Linked DNA regions of Anolis sagrei. Each later gene encodes a partner of the first gene's protein in a complex. Links are inferred from orthologs where the notes say so. Each region holds a gene or a part of one and is shown on either strand. Other genes may lie near its edges.

The links. Proteins that work in one complex are often made in the same cells at the same time.
Region 2: the proteins of POR (region 1) and HMOX1 are in contact, whole or in part, in a crystal structure (PDB 3WKT), measured with the Rattus norvegicus proteins. The link is inferred for Anolis sagrei from reciprocal best matches to the Homo sapiens genes POR and HMOX1. Residues at the interface, in NP_113764.1 of Rattus norvegicus: Thr88, Thr177, Asp208, Asp209, Arg313, Arg514, Lys515, Gln517, Arg519, Leu520, Phe522, Lys523, His626, Lys665, Met667, Thr668, Lys669, Gly670, Tyr672; in NP_036712.1 of Rattus norvegicus: Asp12, Ser14, Glu15, Gln38, Ala75, Pro76, Glu81, Lys149, Ile150, Lys153, Ser171, Asp173, Asn174, Thr176, Lys177, Phe178, Lys179, Gln180, Leu181, Arg183, Ala184, Arg185, Asn187, Thr188.

The regions. Positions count from the first base shown.
Region 1 is NC_090031.1:33,154,579-33,164,766, reverse strand, and holds the start of POR (NADPH--cytochrome P450 reductase), read left to right. Parts: upstream 1-5,839; 5' UTR 5,840-5,966; intron 5,967-8,741; exon of another isoform or gene 8,742-8,856; intron 8,857-10,188. UniProt on the Homo sapiens protein: This enzyme is required for electron transfer from NADP to cytochrome P450 in microsomes. It can also provide electron transfer to heme oxygenase and cytochrome B5.
Region 2 is NC_090025.1:167,337,661-167,348,073, forward strand, and holds the start of HMOX1 (heme oxygenase 1), read right to left. Parts: upstream 4,234-10,413; 5' UTR 4,118-4,233; coding exon 4,098-4,117; intron 1,109-4,097; coding exon 985-1,108; intron 1-984.

The DNA of each region.
Region 1 (10,188 bases):
ATTTAAAGTTCGGACCAAAACCAGGAATGGATCCAAGACTTGGAGCTATGGCCTTACCTTGATCCGAGAGAGGAAGATGCAAACCCAAGCTGGGAACAACCTCTGCTGTCTGCTCCGCGTCTCTTGCGTCAGATGCCACAAAACTCTCCAAAACAATGGCGGGAGCCTCCTAACGTTGGGCTTGACTCAACAACCAGATGATGTCATTCTGGTCACAAAAGCCACCTGTCTGTTTGTCCATGACCAGGTGTCTCGCACCAAACAATGCTGAGCGCCCAACAAAGGAGAGCCATGGCGGAAGGAGGCGTCCTTTGAGTTCTGGATCCTAGAAGAGCAGACTGATCAGATTTGCAGGTGACTTCCCTCGTTCTGGATCAGTGTTTCTCAACCTGGGGGTTGGGGCCCCGGGGGGGGGGGGGCGGGCGTCGCAAAGGGGTGTCAGAGGGGTCGCCAAAGACTTTCAGAAAACACAGATTTCCTGTTGGTCATGGGGGTTCTGTGTGGGAAGTTTGGCCCAATTCTATCATTGGTGGGGTTCAGAACGCTCCTTGATTGTAGGTGAACTATAAATCCCAGCAACTACAACTCCCAAATGTCAAAGTCTATTTTCCCCAAAGTCCATCAGTGTTCACATTTGGGCATATTGGGTATCCATGCCAAGTTTGGTCCAGATCCATCATTGTTTGAGCCCACAGTGCTCTCTGGATGTAGGCGAACTACAACTCCCAAACTCAAGGTCAATGCCCACCAAACCCTTACAGTATTTTCTGTTGGTCATGGAAGTTCTCTGTGCCAAGTTTGGTTCAATTCCATTGTTGGTGGGGTTTGGAATGCTCTTTGTTTACATGTTAACTATAAATCCCAGCAACTACAACTCCCAAATGACAAAATCAATCCCACCAGTATTCAAATGTGGGCATACCGGGTATTTGTGCCAAATTTGGTCCAGTGAATGAAAATACATCCTGAAGATCATTATTTACATGGTGATTCATAACGTTAGGGTTATGGCTGGAGGTCACCACAACATGAGGAACTGTATTAAGGGGTCGCGGCATTAGGAAGGTTGAGAACCACTGTTCTGGACACTATCCTCCCTTGGATGCAGCCTAGAATCGTGTTGGCCCTTTTAGCTGCTGCATCACAGTCTTGGCTCACGTTCAGCTTGTGGTTTACCAAGCCCCTTGACTCCCTTTCACATGTGAAATAGAGCCATTTAAAATGGCTGCGGATAGTGAGAGTTGAGCCGCGGATGGCGAAACCTGAACCGCGGATACCGAGACCTGATACATGGTTACCGGTATCCGATACGTGGTTACCAGTACCAGCGACAGTCCACCCAATATTTTGAAATTCCCGCTCCCGTCCAGCTGGACCTGACGGAGCAGTGATTGGCCAAGCTCTGATGATGTCAGAATAGCTGATGGAGGATTCCCCGCAGAGGTGGGACTGTGGTGCCCGCCAGCCAATCAGAGAGCATTCTCCACTCCTAATGCAGATTTCTGCCCTCCAATGGCTGACAGAGCGCAAAATGGAAACTTCACACAGAGGAGACGTAGTTTTATGGTTGGATTACCTTGTCCCAACTCCGGGACGAACAAAGTGGGACCTTTAGGTCTAATGTTGTGATTGTTGTATTTATGAGCCCCAACTGTGTGGGTCTGGTGCTTCCACTGTATTTTTAAACAGAATATTGTCCATGATGATAGGATTATGAATCCGTTCCTGGGAAAAAGGGGAAATTGCAATGTGGAAAGTGGGGTACTGCCAGCCCCCCCCCCCCAACTTAATGGGACTTGGTATCCGCGGTTCAGGTTTCGCTATCCACAACGAGGATCTCATCATCTGCAGCCGGTTCAAATTGCTCTATTTCAAGAAGAAGGAAATGGAGAAGAAGGAGAGGGAGGAGAGGAGGAGAAGGAGATGAGAAGATGGAGAAGGAGAAGAGAAGGAAATGGAGAAGGAGATGGAGGAGAGGAGGAGAGGAAGAGGAGAATGAGATGGAGAAGGAGAAGAGAAGGAAATGGAGAAGGAGAAGGTGAAGATGGAGGAAAGGATGAGAAGGGGACAGAGGAGAGGAAAAGAAGGAGAAGAGAAGGAAATGCAGAAGGAGAGGAGGAGAAGGAGAAGAAAAGGAAATGGAGAAGGAGATGGAGGAGGAGAAGGAGATGGAGAAGGTGAAGATAGAGGAAAGGATGAGAAGGAGACGGAAGAGAGGAGAAGAAAGAGAAGGAGGAGAAGAGAAGGAAATGGAGAAGAAGGAGATGGAGAAGGTGAAGATGAAGAAAAGGATGAGAAGGAGACAGAGGGGTGGAGGAGGGGAGGAGGAGAAGGAGATGGAGGAGAGGAGAAGAAGAGGAGAAGGAGATGGAGAAGGTGAAGATGGAGGAAAGGATGAGAAAGAGACAGAGGGGAGGATGAGAAGAGGATAAGGAGAAGAGAAGGAAAGGCAGAAGGAGAAGAAGGAGAGGAGGAGAAGGCAATGTAAAGGGAGAAGAGAAGGAAATGGAGAAGGAGACGGAGGGGAGGAGGGGAAGGAGAAGAGAAGGAGAGGCAGAAGGAGAAGAAGGCGAGGAGGAGAAGGCGATGTAGAGGGAGAAGAGAAGGAAATGGAGAAGGAGACGGAGGGGAGGAGGGGAAGGAGAAGAGAAAGAGAGGCAGCAGGAGAAGAAGGCAGAAGGAGGAGAAGGAGAGGAGGAGAAGGCGATGTAAAGGGAGAAGAGAAGGAAATGGAGAAGGAGACGGAGGGGAGGAGGGGAAGGAGAAGAGAAGGAGAGGCAGAAGGAGAAGAAGGAGAGGAGGAGAAGGCGATGTAGAGGGAGAAGAGAAGGAAATGGAGAAGGAGACGGAGGGGAGGAGGGGAAGGAGAAGAGAAGGAGAGGCAGCAGGAGAAGAAGGCAGAAGGAGGAGAAGGAGAAGAGAAGGAAATGGAGAAGGAGATGGAGAAGGTGAAGATGGAGGAAAGAATAGAAGGAGACAGAAGAGAAGAGGAGAAGGAAATGCAGAAGGAGACGAAGGAGAGGAGGAGAAGAGGAGAAGTAGAAGAGAAGGAAATTGAGAAGGAGGAGAAGGAGATGGAGGAGAAGGAGATGGAGAAGGTGAAGATGGAGGAAAGGATGAGAAGGAGACGGAGGAGAGGAGAAGCGGAGGAGATGGAGATGGAGAGGAAGAAGAGAAGGAAATGGAGGAGAAGGAGAGGAGGAGAAGGAGAAACAGAAAGAGAAGAAGAGAAGAAGGAGAGGATGAAAAGGCGGAGAGAAGAAAAAGATGGAGGAGAAGAAGGAGAAGAAAAGAAGGAGAGAATGAGAAGAGAAAAAGAAGGAGAAGAAGACAAGAAGAAGGTGGAGAAGAAGAAGTCAGCAACAATAACAAATACTCCTAACAGATCTCTGATAGATTGGCATTGATAATGCAATTGTTGATCTTTCGGACTGGTGGACTTTGTGATTCAGATGGGCACCTTCATGGAACCAGTTGCCTCACCTCCGAGGCCTTGATACTATCTGTAGTAACCTTAATGATTAGTGCAGGGCACCTCTCCCATTAAGCACATCCTGGAAGTGGGTCCAGATTGGTGGCTTGTTCCTCCCATTTCGCCGGAGGCCAAACCCTGTCATTTTGGTTTCCCTTCCACCTTGAGTGGCTTTGCCCAGAACTGGACATGGGGTTGTCCTGGGTGAGAAGGTTTGGCCAAGCAGAAGAAGGCTTCCCTCGCGGTCAACACTGCATATTGCATGGGCCTTTTGAGCCGCCCAAGATGGAGAGGGCAGGATGACCTTTGGGAAGGAAACCTTGGGAGAGCATGATAATTAAGCATCAGGCTGATGCTCGGTGCATTTCCACTCCGGCCTTGCATTTCAATTGCAGCTCATGCGCCTTCTGGAGGCGGACATGAAAGACGTGTTGAGCGCCAGATAAGCCTTTTTAATTGGCCAACATGTATAATTCATCGTGGGCCATTGCCAAACACATAGGCGTGCATGGACACGCGTGTGTCTTCAATTACACGTCCCAGGTGAGCTCGGAATTATCTTTTTGGCATTATATAAAGTTAGTGGGGCAATGAATCCACTCCTCTGCTAAACATACATATCATAGAATCTTAGAGTTGGAAGGGACCCTAAAGGCCATCCAGTCCAACCCTCTTTCGCCAGGCTGGGAGACACCATCCAATCTCTCTCAACAGATAGCCATCCAGGCTCTGCTAAATATACATATCATAGAATCCTAGAGTTGGAAGGGACTCTCGAGCCATCCAGTCCAACCCCCTTAGGCCTTTGCCGATCCCACAAAACTCTGATCTCCGATAGTTCTGGGTGGCTGTGGGTTTTCCGGGCTGGCCACCATGATTAGCATTTAGTGGCCTTGCAGCTTCAAAGCCTGGCTGATTGCTGCCCAGTGGGAATTTTACCAGTATTTAAAAAAACTCTAATATCAGGAAGAGGGGCCAACCAAGGGCAAGATGGATGGATGGCATCCTTGAAGTGACTGGATTGACCTTGAAGGAGCTGGGGGTGGTGACGGCCAACAGGGAGCTCTGGCGTGGGCTGGTCCATGAGGTCATGAAGAGTCGGAAACGACTGAACGAAGGAACAGCAATATCAGTAAAGTAAATAAAGAGCAATGCTCAAAAAACAAGGAAATTCCAGACAAGAATCTATAAGGGACAGCTAACACCTTCCAACAAAGGTTCCCTCCAGGCAGCAATCAGCCAGGCTTTGAAGCTACAAGGCCATCAAATGCTAATCAAGGTGGCCAATTGTCACATTCACACTTGCCTCAAACAGACAAGAGTTCTCTCTCCTACGCTGGACATTATTCCGCCGGTATATAGATGGCCATCCAGCCTCTGCTAACCATACATATCATAGAATCCTAGAGTTGGAAGGGACCCTAAAGGCCATCCAGTCCAACCCTCTTTCGCCAGGCCAGGAGACACCATCCAATCTCTCTCAACAGATAGCCATCCAGCCTCTGCTAAACATACATATCATAGAACCCTAGAGTTGGAAGGGACCCTAAAGGCCATCCAGTCCAACCCTCTTTCGCCAGGCCGGGAGACACCATCCAATCTCTCTCAACAGATAGCCATCCAGGCTCTGCTAAACATACATATCATAGAATCCTAGAGTTGGAAGGGACCCTCGAGGCCATCCAGTCCAACCCCTTCCGCCAGGCAGGAAGACACCATCCAATCCCTCTCGACAGATAGTCATCCTCCCTCTGCTAAACATACATATCATAGAAACTTAGAGTTGGAAGGGACCCTAAAGGCCATCCAGTCCAACCCGCTTCTGTCATAAGGAAAGACAGCATGAAGGCCTTCCGGAGAGATGACCATCCAGCCTTTGCTTCAAGAACCTCCAGAGAAGGCAACTCAATCACACATCATCCAATGGGAGGGCCATCTGTTGAGAGGGTTTTGCCTGTGCCTTTCTGCCGGTCCGAAAGCGGTTGGACTGGATGCCCTTTGGGGGTCTCTTCCGGTGCTTTCAGGAGACCTTTGACCCCACCCTTGGGGATAATCATGCCTTGAGTCCCTGTTTTGGAACAAAAACAGGATGTAAACAAAGTGAGTAAGTAAAGTTATAAATCAGTAGAGTGGTGCTTAAAGTGAATTAATCTCACAGTGTAGATGCATACGAGGAGAGGGAAATGGAGGTGGAGGAAACCAGATGAGCCCAGGAGGACATCCTTTCCATTTCCGGCCCGCAATGACGATCCCAATGGCTCTCTTCTTTCTCCACCCACTTTATAATTTTCTGCTTGTTCTTTCTTGGCACCTGGCAAGTTATTTAACTCAGCTCCGCAGTTAAATAAGGGAGGCTCCAGGGCAAAGGTCTTGTGATTGTGGGATCATCAGCCAGCCGGTGGCAAAGGACAAAGCTGCGGGCCTTGACTATCTTGGATCAGCACAAAGAGCCGGCAAAAGAACGCCTCGTAGGAACAGAACAGTCTCCGATACGGTGAGTTTCAATCCCATAGAGCTCGACCATAGGCAGCCTGAGCTGTCCAACAGTGGGATAGGATGATTTAAGGGGGTCTGGATGGCCATCTGTCGGGAGGGATCGGATGGTGTCTTCCTGTATGGCAGAAGGGGGTTGAACTGGATGGCCTTGGGGGTCCTTTCCAACTAAAGATATGAATATAGATTAACAGAGGCTGGATGGCCATCTTTCAGGAGGGATCGGATGGTGTCTACCTTTATGGCAGAAGAGTTTCGAACTGGATGGTCCTTGGGGTCCTTTCCAACTAAAGATACTAATATAGATTAATTAACAGAGGCTGGATGGCCATCTGTCGGGAGGGATCGGATGGTGTCTTCCTGTATGGCAGAAGGGGGTTGAACTGGATGGCCCTTGGGATCCTTTCCAACTAAGGATACTGATATAGATTAACTAACAGAGGCTGGATGGCCATCTGTCGGGAGGGATCGGATGGTGTCTTCCTTTATGGCAGAAGGGGGTTGAACTGGATGGTCCTTGGGGTCCTTTCCAACTAAGGATACTGATATAGATTAACTAACAGAGGCTGGATGGCCATCTGTCGGGAGGGATCGGATGGTGTCTTCCTGTATGGCAGAAGGGGGTTGAACTGGATGGCCCTTGGGATCCTTTCCAACTAAGGATACTGATATAGATTAACTAACAGAGGCTGGATGGCCATCTGTCGGGAGGGATCGGATGGTGTCTTCCTGTATGGCAGAAGGGGGTTGAACTGGATGGCCCTTGGGATCCTTTCCAACTAAGGATACTGATATAGATTAACTAACAGAGGCTGGATGGCCATCTGTCGGGAGGGATCGGATGGTGTCTTCCTTTATGGCAGAAGGGGGTTGAACTGGATGGTCCTTGGGGTCCTTTCCAACTAAAGATACTAATATAGATTAATTAACAGAGGCTGGATGGCCATCTGTCGGGAGGGATCGGATGGTGTCTTCCTTTATGGCAGAAGGGGTTAAACTGGATGACCCTTGGGATCCTTTCCAACTAAGGATACTGATATAGATTAACTAACAGAGGCTGGATGGCCATCTGTCGGGAGGGATCGGATGGTGTCTTCCTTTATGGCAGAAGAGTTTTGAACTGGATGGTCCTTGGGGTCCTTTCCAACTAAAGATACTAATATAGATTAATTAACAGAGGCTGAGTGGCCATCTGTTGGGAGGGATCGGATGGTGTCTTCCTTTATGGCAGAAGGGGGTTGAACTGGATGTGTGTGTGTGTGGATATGTGTATATATACATGTTTGTATGTATATATACACATATCCACACACAAATATACATATATACACACACAATATATATACACATATACCTTATGTGTATATATATACACACATACATACATACATACATACACACCTATATACATATATTCCTACATTTGTATACACACATAAATATATAAAAATAAGTATGTGTGTGTGTGTGGATATGTGTATATATACATGTTTGTATGTATATATATACACATATGTGTATGTATATATGTGTGTGTGGATATGTGTATATATACATGTTTGTATGTATATATCCACATATCCACACACACATATATACATATATACACACACAATATATATACACATATACCTTATGTGTATATATATACACACATACATACATACATACATACACACCTATATACATATATTCCTACATTTGTATACACACATAAATATATAAAAATAAGTATGTGTGTGTGTGTGGATATGTGTATATATACATGTTTGTATGTATATATATACACATATGTGTATGTATATATGTGTGTGTGGATATGTGTATATATACATGTTTGTATGTATATATACACATATCCACACACACATATATACATATATACACACACAATATATATACACATATACCTTATGTGTATATATATACACACATACATACATACATACATACACACCTATATACATATATTCCTACATTTGTATACACACATAAATATATAAAAATAAGTATGTGTGTGTGTGTGGATATGTGTATATATACATGTTTGTATGTATATATATACACATATGTGTATGTATATATGTGTGTGTGGATATGTGTATATATACATGTTTGTATGTATATATACACATATCCACACACACACATATATACACATACATACATACACACCTATATACATATATTCCTACATTTGTATACACACATAAGTATATACAAATAAGTGTGTGTGTGTGTGGATATGTGTATATATACATATGTTTGTATGTATATATACACATATCCACACACATATATACATATACATATATACGCACAATATATAATATATACACTTATACTGTATGTATGTATATATATATATATACATACACATACACACAGAGTTGTCATCAGGAAAAGTAACTTTTCCAAGCTGTGCCCAGTTCTGCCAGAAACCCCACTGAAAGGGCAAGCTCTCGAATCCTCCCTCCTCCTTCATTAGTACGCGTGCGCAAAAAAACCTCGCTAGTACGCATGCGTAAAACCACAGCCTCTTTTCTCTCCTGTCAGCTGAGGACTGTGTGGGACGTACCACTGCGGGAGAAGGGGGGGGTGTTCAGCGGTGAGTTTAGACTTCCCTTGGAGGGGAATGGTTTCCCCTGGCAACCCTTCGTGTGTGGGGGGGGGGGGGAAGAAAAGTAAAGACGGAGAGGGGTGCAAAATGGGAGGTTGGGAAATGGAGTTGGGAGTGTGGCTTTTTTGATTCCTTGCTTCCCCCCTCTCGGAGCAGTGGTACGATCCAGAGCTGTAGCCCCGCCCCCTGGGGAGTCTTGGCCTGGCTGAGAGTCGGCTGTTTCTCTCGCCACTCGACGGTCGTCCGCTTTGGCTCAGTGGAGCGTCTCCCGGTGAGGGCCCGAAGGGGGACACGAGCCCCGTTTGGGGGTTCCGGGGGTCTTTGGTTCCGGGGTTCTGCTTTGGGGGGAAAAAGTGACTCAAGGGCCGGACTTTGGACCTAAAGGGATGGACATTGAGAGAGGGGAGGTTCATTGAGGTGTGTGGGGGGTGCCATTTATATATTTTGAGGGTTGTCTTAGCTATATTTTTGTATTGGGGAGTGTGTTATCTCTATTCCTTCCTTCCTTTTGGTTTTGAGAGGCCTTAGTTATATTCCTGGCTTCCTTTTTGTATTTTGGGGAGGGGGTCAACTCTATTCCTTCCTTTTTGTATTGGGGAGGGTCTTAGCTCTCTTTCTTTTTGTATTGGGGAGGGTCTTTGCTCCATTCCTGACTCCATTTTTGTATTGGGGAGGGTCTTAGTTGTATTCCTGACTCCCTTTTTGTATTGGGGAGGGTCTTAGCTCAATTCCTGGCATCCTTTTTGTATTGGGGAGGGTCTTAGCTCAAATCCTGGCTTCCTTTTTGTATTGAGGAGGGTCTTAGCTCTATTCCTAGCTTCCTTTTTGTATTGAGGAGGGTCTTAGCTCTCTTTCTGGCTTCCTTTTTGTATTGAGGAGGGTCTTAGCTCAATTCCTGGCTTCCTTTTTTATTGGGGAGGGTTTTTGCTCTCTTCCTAGCTTCCTTTCTGTATTGAGGAGGGTCTTTGCTCTCTTCCTAGCTTCCTTTTTGTATTGGGGAGGATCTTAGTTCTATTCCTGTCTTTCTTTTTGTATTGGGGAGGGTCTTAGCTCTCTTCCTGACTCTCTTTTTGTATCGGGGAGGGTCTTAGCTCTCTTCCTGGCTTCCTTTTTGTATTGGGGAGGGTCTTAGTTCTATTCCTGTCTTTCTTTTTGTATTGGGGAGGGTCTTAGCTCTCTTCCTGGCTTCCTTTTTGTATTGGGGAGGATCTTAGTTCTATTCCTGTCTTTCTTTTTGTATTGGGGAGGGTCTTAGCTCTCTTCCTGACTCTCTTTTTGTATTAGGGAGGGTCTTAGCTCTATTCCTGGCTTCCTTTTTGCATTGGGGAGGGTCTTAGGTTTTGGATGACCTCCTAGGTTCCTTTTAATAACGCTGTGTGTATTTTAATAGATGTGTTTTAATTATCCCTCTGTTTACAAGCCGAGAGCAGAGGCAGCTGATGGTGATGATTGACCAGCAATTTTGGGTCCCTCTCCCCATTTCCCCCTCTTTTCCCAGCCTTGTCCTGGAGGGACAGGTTGTCATGTGGGTACTGTGTGGTTTTTTCAGCAATATAATAGTTTTTCATGGTTCTACATGACTTTGGAGTCTTTGTTTTTGATA
Region 2 (10,413 bases), on another chromosome or scaffold:
GCTTTGTGGAAGGGCCCTGAGACCACACTGCCATATAGTTCAGTTCAATGTGGATTTTATACAACTGTGTAGAACCTTTCTCACCTTATACAATGGGCTCTTGGTATCCACTGAACCCCTGTGGATTCCAAAATGCATTGGATGCTCAACTCTTGTTACATATAGTGGTGTAGTAAAAATACTATAAAATGTCAAAATCAAGGTTTTGGGGGATCAAAAAAATATTTTTCAAGCACTGGATGGTAAAATCCATGGATACTTTGCGCTGACTGTATATACATTACTATACTATACTAACAAGCGAAAACTTTTTAAATTACTTAACATTGTTAAAAGTGAACATTTCACCCTGAAAGCTAAACTGTCCTAAAACCAATGAGGGTAGTCCCATTGAATCAAATATTAAATGATGAGTTTATACACAGGCAACTCCCATTGGAGCAATTGATCTCCTTTAGCTGGAAATCACAGCAGGATTCAGGCCCTGTTGGGACTAACTAGTTTTTTTTTTGGTGTTGTGTCAGGAGCGACTTGAGAAACTGCAAGTTGCTTCTGGTGTGTGAGAATTAGTTGTCTGCAAGGATGTTGCCCAGGAGACGCCTGGATGAATTGATGTTTTTTTATCATCCTTGTGGGAGGCTTCTCTCATGTCCCTGCATGAGGAGCTGGAGCTGATAGAGGAAGCTCATCCGCCTCTCCCTGGATTTGAACCTGCAACCTGTCAGTCTTCAGTCCTGCCGGCACAGGGGTTTAACCCACTGCGCCACCGGGGGCTCCTACTAACTAGTTGAGGCAGCACAGCTCTTATTCAAAGACCGTGGAAGGGATCCCTATTAACTTAGACACAGGCTATTAAAATAGCAGGATATTGACAGTTTTATTTTATATAAAACATTCCAACCCCACATTTTCCATTTTATGAAATCTCAAAGTTTCCCCATTTCTGATTGCGACTATAAGTCCTATAAAGTAACCCACAGGTACCTTAAATTCACGGAGGGACACCTGCCCCTTCTGGAAGCTCTCCATGAACTGAGTGCTCTCCGCCTGGACGTGGACCTCTTTAGTGCTTTCCTTCAGAGCTTCTGACAAATCCCGATGGGACATCCTGTTGAAAAGAGGTTTGAATTCAGAAAGAAGTGTCAAAACACGAAATTCGTTTATGCTTTGTATACACCTGGTGGCACAACAGGTTAAACCGCTAAGCTGCTGAACTTGCTGGCCAAAAGGTTTGAATCCGGGGAGTGCTGTGAGCTCCCGCTGTTAGGCCCAGCTTCTGCCAACCTAGCAGTTCAAAAACATGCAAATGTAAGTAGATCAATAGGTATTGCTTTGTGCAGTCATGCCAGTCACATCACTTTGGAGGTGTCTACGGACAAGACTGGCTCTTTGGCTTAGAAATGGAAATGAGCAGCATCCTCCAGAGTCCAACACATCTAGACTTAATGTCAGGGGAAACTTACTATACGCCTTATACACATCAGGGTTATCTGAGTCCACACTGCCATACATCCCATTTCAAAGCAGATATTGCGGGGTTTTCTGCCTTGATATTCTGGAATATAGGGCTGTGTGGAAGGGCCCTCAGTTCAAAGCAGATATTGTGAATTATCTGTCTTGAGGTTGTTGAGCATGAAACACATTTTGAATACTCTCAGAATGCAAACATATCATTATCCCTGCCAATTATGTGGACAGTTTTAGATTTGAGAATTCTGGACATGGGATGCTCAACTGGGACCTTGAAGGCAAACTGATGAAATGTTGTCTGAACTGTGGACCTCCAGGTGTTTTGGATTTTGATTCCCAGAATCCTTATTTGTTGGTTGAGGTGGTTGAAGCTTCTGGGGGCCCCATCACATAGTTGAATAAAATCCCATATTTTCTGTTTTGAACTGGAATATATAGCAGTGTGGTCTCAGATAACCTAGTTCAAAGCAGATATTGTGGCATTTTCTGCCCTGATATTCTGGCTATATGACTGTGTGGAAGAGCCCTAGGAGTTGAAGTTCACAGTGCCTAGAGGAGTAGCATTTGGGACTCACTGTTTTAGTGGGGATGAAGCTTGGGGGAGGAAAATACAGCCCATTTGAGCATCAAATGTATCACTCGGCTCACATAAACTATAATCCATGTACACATGTGTACATAATACATGTGTATAGCATAAACCAGAGCTTAGAAAACATACTATAATGTCCCAAATTCTCAATAAAAGCTTTGAGAACCACCAATTTAGAGGGGGGGGGGGGGAAATAGCTTTAGAAAGATCCAGTCCACTCAAGCATCAAATATAACACTCAGCACACATAAGCATTAATATATACGCACATATGTACAGAAGATATACGTATAGTACACGTCAGAGCTTTGAAAAGTCAATGTAATGTGTACTGAATCCCTAAACCAGCATCAAGAAAACTTTGAGAACCACCTTTTGACAGCAACAACCCTATATCCCAGAATATCAAGGCAGAAAATCCCACATTATCTGAGTGTGGACTCAACCCACTTCAAAGCAGATATTGTGGGACTAGGACACTAAGATCATCTGGGGAGGCCCTGCTCTCTGACCCGCCTGCATCACGGGCATGCTTGGCGGGGACGAGAGACAGGGCCTTCTCAGTGGTGGCCCCTCGGCTGTGGAACGCCCTGCCTGCAGATATCAGATCGGCCCCCTCCCTGCTGGCGTTTTGGAGGAAAGTGAAGACCTGGCTGTTCGAACAAGCATTTGATTAAACAGTATAATTGAACATAGGAATACAGAATAATGGATGATGAGACTGGATTCTGATTTTACTGTTGAGGCGCTAATGATTATTATTCTGATGTTAATGATTTATGTTACAATTGTTTTTAATTGCCCTATACTTGTCTCGTGATGTTTTGTATCAATGTTGTTCACCGCTTTGAGTCACCTGAGGGCTGAGAAAAGCGGTATATAAATAAAGTAAATAAATAAATAAATAAATAAAAAATTCTGCCTTGATATTCTGGTATATAGGGCTGTGTGGAAAGGCCCTGTAAGTAGAGTTAAGCCATGGATGAGCAAGTGTGCAAAATATACTTTATTGCATATTGGAACACTGGTATCTAACAATTGGATCCAGGTGCAAAATAAACCAAACTCTGAGGCCCCCTCCGAACAGCTGTATACAATCCCACATCATCTGCTTTGAACTGGAATATGTGGCAGTGTGGCCTCAGATATCCCAGTTCAAAGCAGATATTGTGGGATTTTCTGCCTTGATATTCTGGGATATAGGGTTATGTGGCAGGGCCCTTAGTTTACACAAACTGCAATATACACACACACACATGTACAGGATATATATATGCATAGTAAACATCTGAAAAGTTATAATAGTGTCCTGAATCTCAAAGTTAGAATTTGGAAAACTCTGATGTACATGTGCAGATAGTGAGAAAACGTACTTGTATATAGACTTATATAGTTTTTATTGCCTTTATGTTTTATATGCATTTATGATGTAATGTAATTGTTCTTAACTGTGTTGTGTGTGTGTGTGTGTGTGTGTGTATATATTTGTGTATATATGCACACAGCATCTAATTGTGCCGATTTTGTATGCCGCCCTGAGTTGCCTTCGGGCTGAAATGGGTGGGATAGAAATAAATAAATAAATAAATAAATAAATCTACACTGTATAATTAATGCAGTTTGACATTGTGCATTAATTGTAGAATTAATGCAGTTTTCCCTGTGTTGATGCTGTGAAATTCTGGGAGCTGTAGTTTGTGGAGGCATGAGCCTTCTTTGGCATCTAAGATGAAAGACCTTGTAAAAATCCAGCTCCCAGGATGCCATACCACTGAGCCCTGGTTAAAGTGGTGTCAGACTGCATTAATTGTACAGTGTAGAGCAGGCATGGGCAAACTTCGGCCCTCCAAGGGTTTTAGACTTCAACTCCCATAATTCCTAACAGCAGGCTGTTGGGAATTGTGAGAGCTGAAGTCCAAAACACCCGGAGGGCTGAAGTTTGCCCATGCCTGGTGTAGATGCACCCTGAAACAAGCTTTGCAAAATCCAGCGTGGGTTTCTGGGGAAAGGAGACCTCGCCACTTGTCCTCCTTACCTTTCCGAGCTGTGTGCCATCCTCGCCTGCTTTTCGTTTCCTCCGGGATGTTACTGCGTGCCTTGAGTTTTCTTTCCTCCCGCTCAGAGTCGGAGAAGTTTCTGAGTGTGTCTGCCCGGCGCTGGCATCTTCCTTTATATGCCTCTTTGCAGGTCACGTGCTCAGCCCAGGAAACATCTGACCTCACTGTACAGTCCCTTTGCACAATATAGAGACATCTATGCCTTTTGTGTCCCCTCTCTCTCTCAGTGGGGTGGCTTCTTCCCCTTTTAGGGAGGAGGAAAAGTCACTTGATGCAATTTGACAACTCAGCAAGACAGGATGGCGAGAAACAGCTCTTTAAAATATATATGCTAGGTACTTTGTCCAACCACATGATTAACGCCTTTTCTTCATTTGAAGTCACAGAAAACTTTATATTGTGTATATGACTAGTGAGAGCCATGATTCTAAATAAAAGCATATGTGTCTTTGCCTTTGTTTTTAAAGAGAAAAAACAGCATGTATGAAGAATGCAAAGAGAGAAGATGATGCAGGAAAACACCTTTGCTGCTATATTTAGAGTGAAATGGAAAACAAACTAGAACAAAACTCAAATCAGTGATGGGAAATACAATGTGCTAAGAACTGTCCTCGGTGGCGCAATGGGTTAAAACCCTTTTGCTGGCAGGACTGAAGACTGACAGGTCAGAGGTTCAAATCCGGGGAGAGCTCAGATGAGCTCCCACTGCCAGCTTCAGCTCCCCATGTGGGGACATGAGAGGAGCCTCCCACAAGGATGATAAACATCAAAATATCCAGGTGTTCCTATTCCTTAAAAGAGGGGGAAAGAGAGTGGAGAAAGAAAACAGGGTGAGGCAAAGATGAGGCAAATAAAAGCTTCTTTGAGTCCCCTTTGGGAAGATAAGGCAGGGTATTATTAACAATAATATAAGAAAAGAAGAAGGGGTCTTTGTCCACCAACTGACAAATTACACTGGAAGGGAACATGGCCCTAAGTCAGTGGTTCCCAACCTTTTTTTGACCAGGGACCACTTGACCAGGGACCACTCTGCAACATTTCTACCAAAAGAGTTACAAATCAGTTTTTGATCAACTTTAGAGTCAGTTTAGAGTGCTGATTCAGAAAATTGTATTGAATAGACCATATCAGCTCTAGTTTCTGATACAGAATATATGCCATGGTCAGTGACAGGGAAGGAGTGGCAGGTGGCATGAAAGGAGCAAAAATAAAATAAAATAAAATAAAGATGAAGAAGGCTCATGGACCAGATTTTTGTCCTCGTGGCCCACTGGTGGTCCACGGCCCACAGGTTAAGAACCACTGCCCTAAGTTCAAGGTTCCCCAAACCTGATTGTCCATCTGCATATTTAATGCAGATTCAGCACCACTCTATTATTGAAATATACAAAAGTGTTGTTTAACTGGAAAGGCAGACATTTTAATTGAGGTGAGTGACCGAGTGACCCTTTAGGACGTATGACATGCAGTGACAGTCCTGCTGACTCAGCTGAGCTTCTCAACTTCTCTTTTCTCCTTTCGAAGCAACTGGAGAAATCACAAACCCTATTGCAAAATGTTCTCAGCTCTGCCGATAGCTGTATTGCTGCTGTACAAATTCTTGGTATCAAATATAAAACAGTTATACAATTCTGCCAGGAGTCACCATGTCCTCACCATCATGCTGTTGAATCTTAATATGACACAGCAAGGAGCCACATTTGTGGATAAGTATTCAATGGATCCATGTGAGGTGACAGATGCATTGTGTTCACCCATGACTGAGGAATTCTTGACATAATTTACCTTTAAAAGGAAGTAGCAGAGATGAAAACCTTCAGAAGGAATACTTTCCTTTTACCCTACTTGAAGCACAAAAGATGCTTCCACCCAATCTTATCTTTACCTGCTATCAGTGCCTGTAATAAGTAGTGTTACATCGGAGTTTCACTGATATCACCCATTTGGTTGTTATTTTTGTCCAGTGGTTTATTATAATGTTTCTATTTGAAATGGGAAGAATAGAAAAGGAGCAATGAGTACAATACAATATGATCCATGTAATGTCACAAAGTCATCATGATTGTCAGGGATTAAGAATAATTCATATAGAGTGTGCAGTACTGGAGACAGAAATGGGTGGCATGACCTGGCTTTGAAATCTTGCTTAGCTATAACGCATGTTGAATGACCTTAGGCTGCACATTATATCTCAGCCTAATTTACTAGATTGTTGTAAAGGTTAAATGAATGAATCATAGAATCAAGAAGCCAGAAAATCGCATTCAACGCACCCCTGACAGATGGTCATCCAACCTCTGCTTAAAAACCCCCAAAGAAGGAGCCTCCACCACACTCTGGGGCAGAAAGAGAGAGTTCCACCGCCAAACAGCTCTCACAGTCAGGAACTTCTTCCTCATGTTCAGGTAGAATCTACTTTCCTGTAGTTTGAAGCCATTGTTCTGCATCCTGGTCTCCAGGGCAGTAGAAAACAAGCTTGCTCCCTCCTCCCTATGATTTCCCCTCATGTATTTATACATGGCCATATGTCTCCTCTCAGCCTTCCCTTCTTCAGGCTAAACATGCCCAGCTCTTTAAGCCGCTCTTCATGGGGCTTGTTCTCCAGACCCTTGATCATTTTACTCACACTCCTCTGAACACATTCTAGCTTGTCAACATCTCCCTTCAATTGTGGTGCCCAAAACTGGACACAGTGTGATTCCAGGTGTGGTCTGACCAAGGCAGAATGGAGAGGTAGCATAACTTCCCTGGACCTGGACACTAGACATCACCTTGTTGGCTCATGTTTAACTTGTTGTCCATGCAGACTCCAAGATCTTTTTCACACGTACTGCTATCAATCCAGGTGTCCCCCATTCCATTCCATTTTTTTCTGCCTAAGTATCTTGCATTTGTCACTGTTGAACTTCATTTTGTTAGTTTTGGCCCATCTCTCTAATCTGTTAAGATAGTTTTGAATTCTGCTCCTGTCTTCTGGAGTATTGGCTATCTTTCCCAATTTGGTGTCATCTGCAAACTTGATGATCATGCCTTCTAACCCTTCATCTAAGACATTAATAAAGATGTTGAACAGGGCCGGCCCAGAACAGAACTTTGTGGCATTCCATTCATCACTTCTTTCCAGGATGACGAGGAAGCATTGGTGAGCACCCCTTGGGTTCTTTCAAAAATGAGGTGATAAATGTATTGCTTTCATCAGCTGGTTTTACTATTAAGTTGAGAGAGATGATGGCCAACAGACTACCAATATGTTTCTGATATGAATGTTTGTGATGACAGATAAGTCTTCAATGACTGCCGCTTTTCAAAGATCACCCCTCTCTCTTTAAATATTTACCTGAGAACTGAGATCTGATGGATGTGAAGACATAGTGACTTTTCTGTTGTACCATCACAGTTGTGAAATGTCCTCTCCTCTGAGGCTTATTTAACAAACAAGGACTTCAACTGGGCACCATTATAAAATATGTCTCTTTACCATCTGGGCGTGTTTGTATATTTGATGGAATTGGTATATAAAGTTTGAACTTGTTTTAAATTGTTTACATTGTTCACATTATTTTAGACTGTTTCAAATTGTATTCAAATTCTTTTTATCATTTTAAATTACTTATTTTTTTGCTGGTGTCTGGCTAAGAATGGAGCGATTAGCTTCGCACAGGGCAAGGACAACTGCATCTCAAGTGAAGTTACTTTTCTGCTACTAATGGAATTTTATTATCTGTGTTTTGTTGCTCTACTCCTCATGTTGGCTTTTATGTTATAGAAAAAAGCACCCAAGCCAGATACTCCACAAAGGAAGGCTGAGGCAGAATGGTAATGCTGAATAAATATATGCAGGTATTGGGTGGCTCCAAACAATACCCATACCCAATAAGCAATAAATGCCAGAAATACTCAGGACCTGCAAAAATGTTCTATCTCTAAGTACTGCTCTCAATACTCCAGCCAGCAACCTCTTTGCAGAGAATGCTCTATACCAGGGGTCCTCAAACTTTTTAAACAGAGGGCCAGGTCACAGCCCCTAGAACTGTTGGAGGGCCGGATTATAATAAGAAAAAAATGAATGAATTCATATGCAAACTGCACATATCTTATTTGTAGTGCAAAAAAAACCCACTTTAAAACAATACAATAATTAAAATGAAGAGCAATTTTAACTTATTAGTATTTCAATGGGAAGTGTGGACCTGCTTTTGGCTGATGAGATAGGATTGTTATTGTTGTTGTTGTTGTTGTTGTTGTTGTTGTTGTTGTGTGCTTTCAAGTCCTTTCAGATTTAAGTTGACCCTGAGTGAGGGCCGGGTAAATGACTTTGGAGGGCCGTATCCGGCCCCTGGGCCTTAGTTTGAGGACCCCTGCTCTATACCATGTCCTCATCTCATCAAGTTTTTTGTTTTCTGCAAATTAATAGGACGGTATTTCATGGACATTTAATACAATCATATCTTTTTGTGTGTGTATGGTGCCATGTGGGGTAGGTGAATGAGAACATTCACTTTTGGGTGTTTGGGGAAAAGAGAGAACAATTGTTTAGTTTAGTTCTTCCCTTCCTGTGGTTTTCCAAAGAACAAAACCAAAAAACCCCAGCTTTGCCAAAACCATGAGGAAACATTTTCCATAGTTTGTTCAGTATTGCCTCCATTATCACCACTAATTCATTGCATTTTCAAAGAATTTTCTTTATTAGCTATGTATCCCATTTTTCCTCCCCCTCCCCCACCTCATAAGTTCAATGCAACGCACATAGGTGTCATATATATGAGAGATCTTTATGCCTCTCTCTTTAGCCTCATGACTGATACACTTATAATATAAAATATTCACCAAATCTTGACATCCTTTTCCTTTGTGCCCTTGTGGTGCTAATGTAATTTTTTTAATTACTACTATATCTCTCATTATTTTTATAATGAATTTCAATGAGAAATTTATTTCCTGATTCTTGATTTTCTTACCTGCTAGTTCAGCTAAATTATGAACAACTTGTTTTGAAGAGAAAAAAATATTTCTGTTAAAAAGCAGTGCCAGTGTCTTCATACAATGTAATTACAAGAAGAGTTCAAATAACTGGCATGTCAGGCAATTATGTTATATATCAGTGCTTTGTTAGGCAATTATGTTGTATATTAGTGCAAGTTTAATGCATTTTAATGGACTTTACGTTTGATGTGTAGATTATAATAATAAACTTGACTTGATTCAAAAAAGCTTCTCTATATTCCTAGTGAACATGAAAATAAATCTGAAAGTCAGCCTTAGGCTCTTTTCCAGACTTGCTGTCTTTGTTCGAGCTGCAGGGAACACAGCCAGACGCCAAACTTGGAGGAAGATGTATGTGTTACTCAGCAAAAGGAATGTTTCCTTTTGGGATGTATCTGACAATGACTCAGCAAAAACAACAATGAAGGGAAGTGCTGAGTCAAGGAGCAACATGCGCAGCTGTGCAACAGGAAAGAGCTATTCCTAAGGGGATGTATTAACAGTTTTGTGGAGACTGAAAGATGCCCAATAATTGCAAAATTAAGCTAATCATTTTTATCCAGCTGTAACACAACAGTGAATAGTGAAGAAGAAATGAAAGTACTGTATGTACTCTGCTGCCATGGGGTGGGGTTAGGGTACAGGACCCCGACCTAAGTGAAAAAAAAGTGAAGTAAATAACCTGAGAAAACACTTTTCTGGGAATCTCTAGATCAGGTTCCGAAGCTTTGTTCGACCAGGACCCACTTTGACCAGGGTCCACTTGACTGGGGACCACTTTGACCGGGAACCACTTGACCAGGGACCACTTTCCAACGTTAGTACCAAAAGAGGAGGGACTGGTCAGCTCTGCAGAAAGGAGCAGAAATAGAATAAAATAAAATAAAGAGGAAGGAGGTTTGTGGACTGGATTTCCATTCTCGTAGCCCACTGCTGGGTCACAGCCCACAGGTTGAGAACCACCGTTCTAGATCCTCCACCACAGTCTCCACTGGTGCTTTCCCACCATGAAAATCTTTGAGAGAAAGAACTCATTTTCGCATTGTTGAAGCTAATTTGAAATAAAACAAAACACAGAGCGAATGCTATAATGGAGAGAGGAAAGAGGAGAGAAGTTGGGTTCCTTGTGGTTGTGCCAGGTGAAAAGCCTTGCCAAGTCAGGAACCTGATGATGTCAGATGGTGTGGCCAAAAGTATAGAGCTGGGAATCTGGCCTTTCACTCTGACATGCTTCCTCGTCACTGCTCTAAGTGCTCACCTATTAATCATGCCACATGCTGGTTTAAGCCATGTGGTTAGGATTCCATGAAA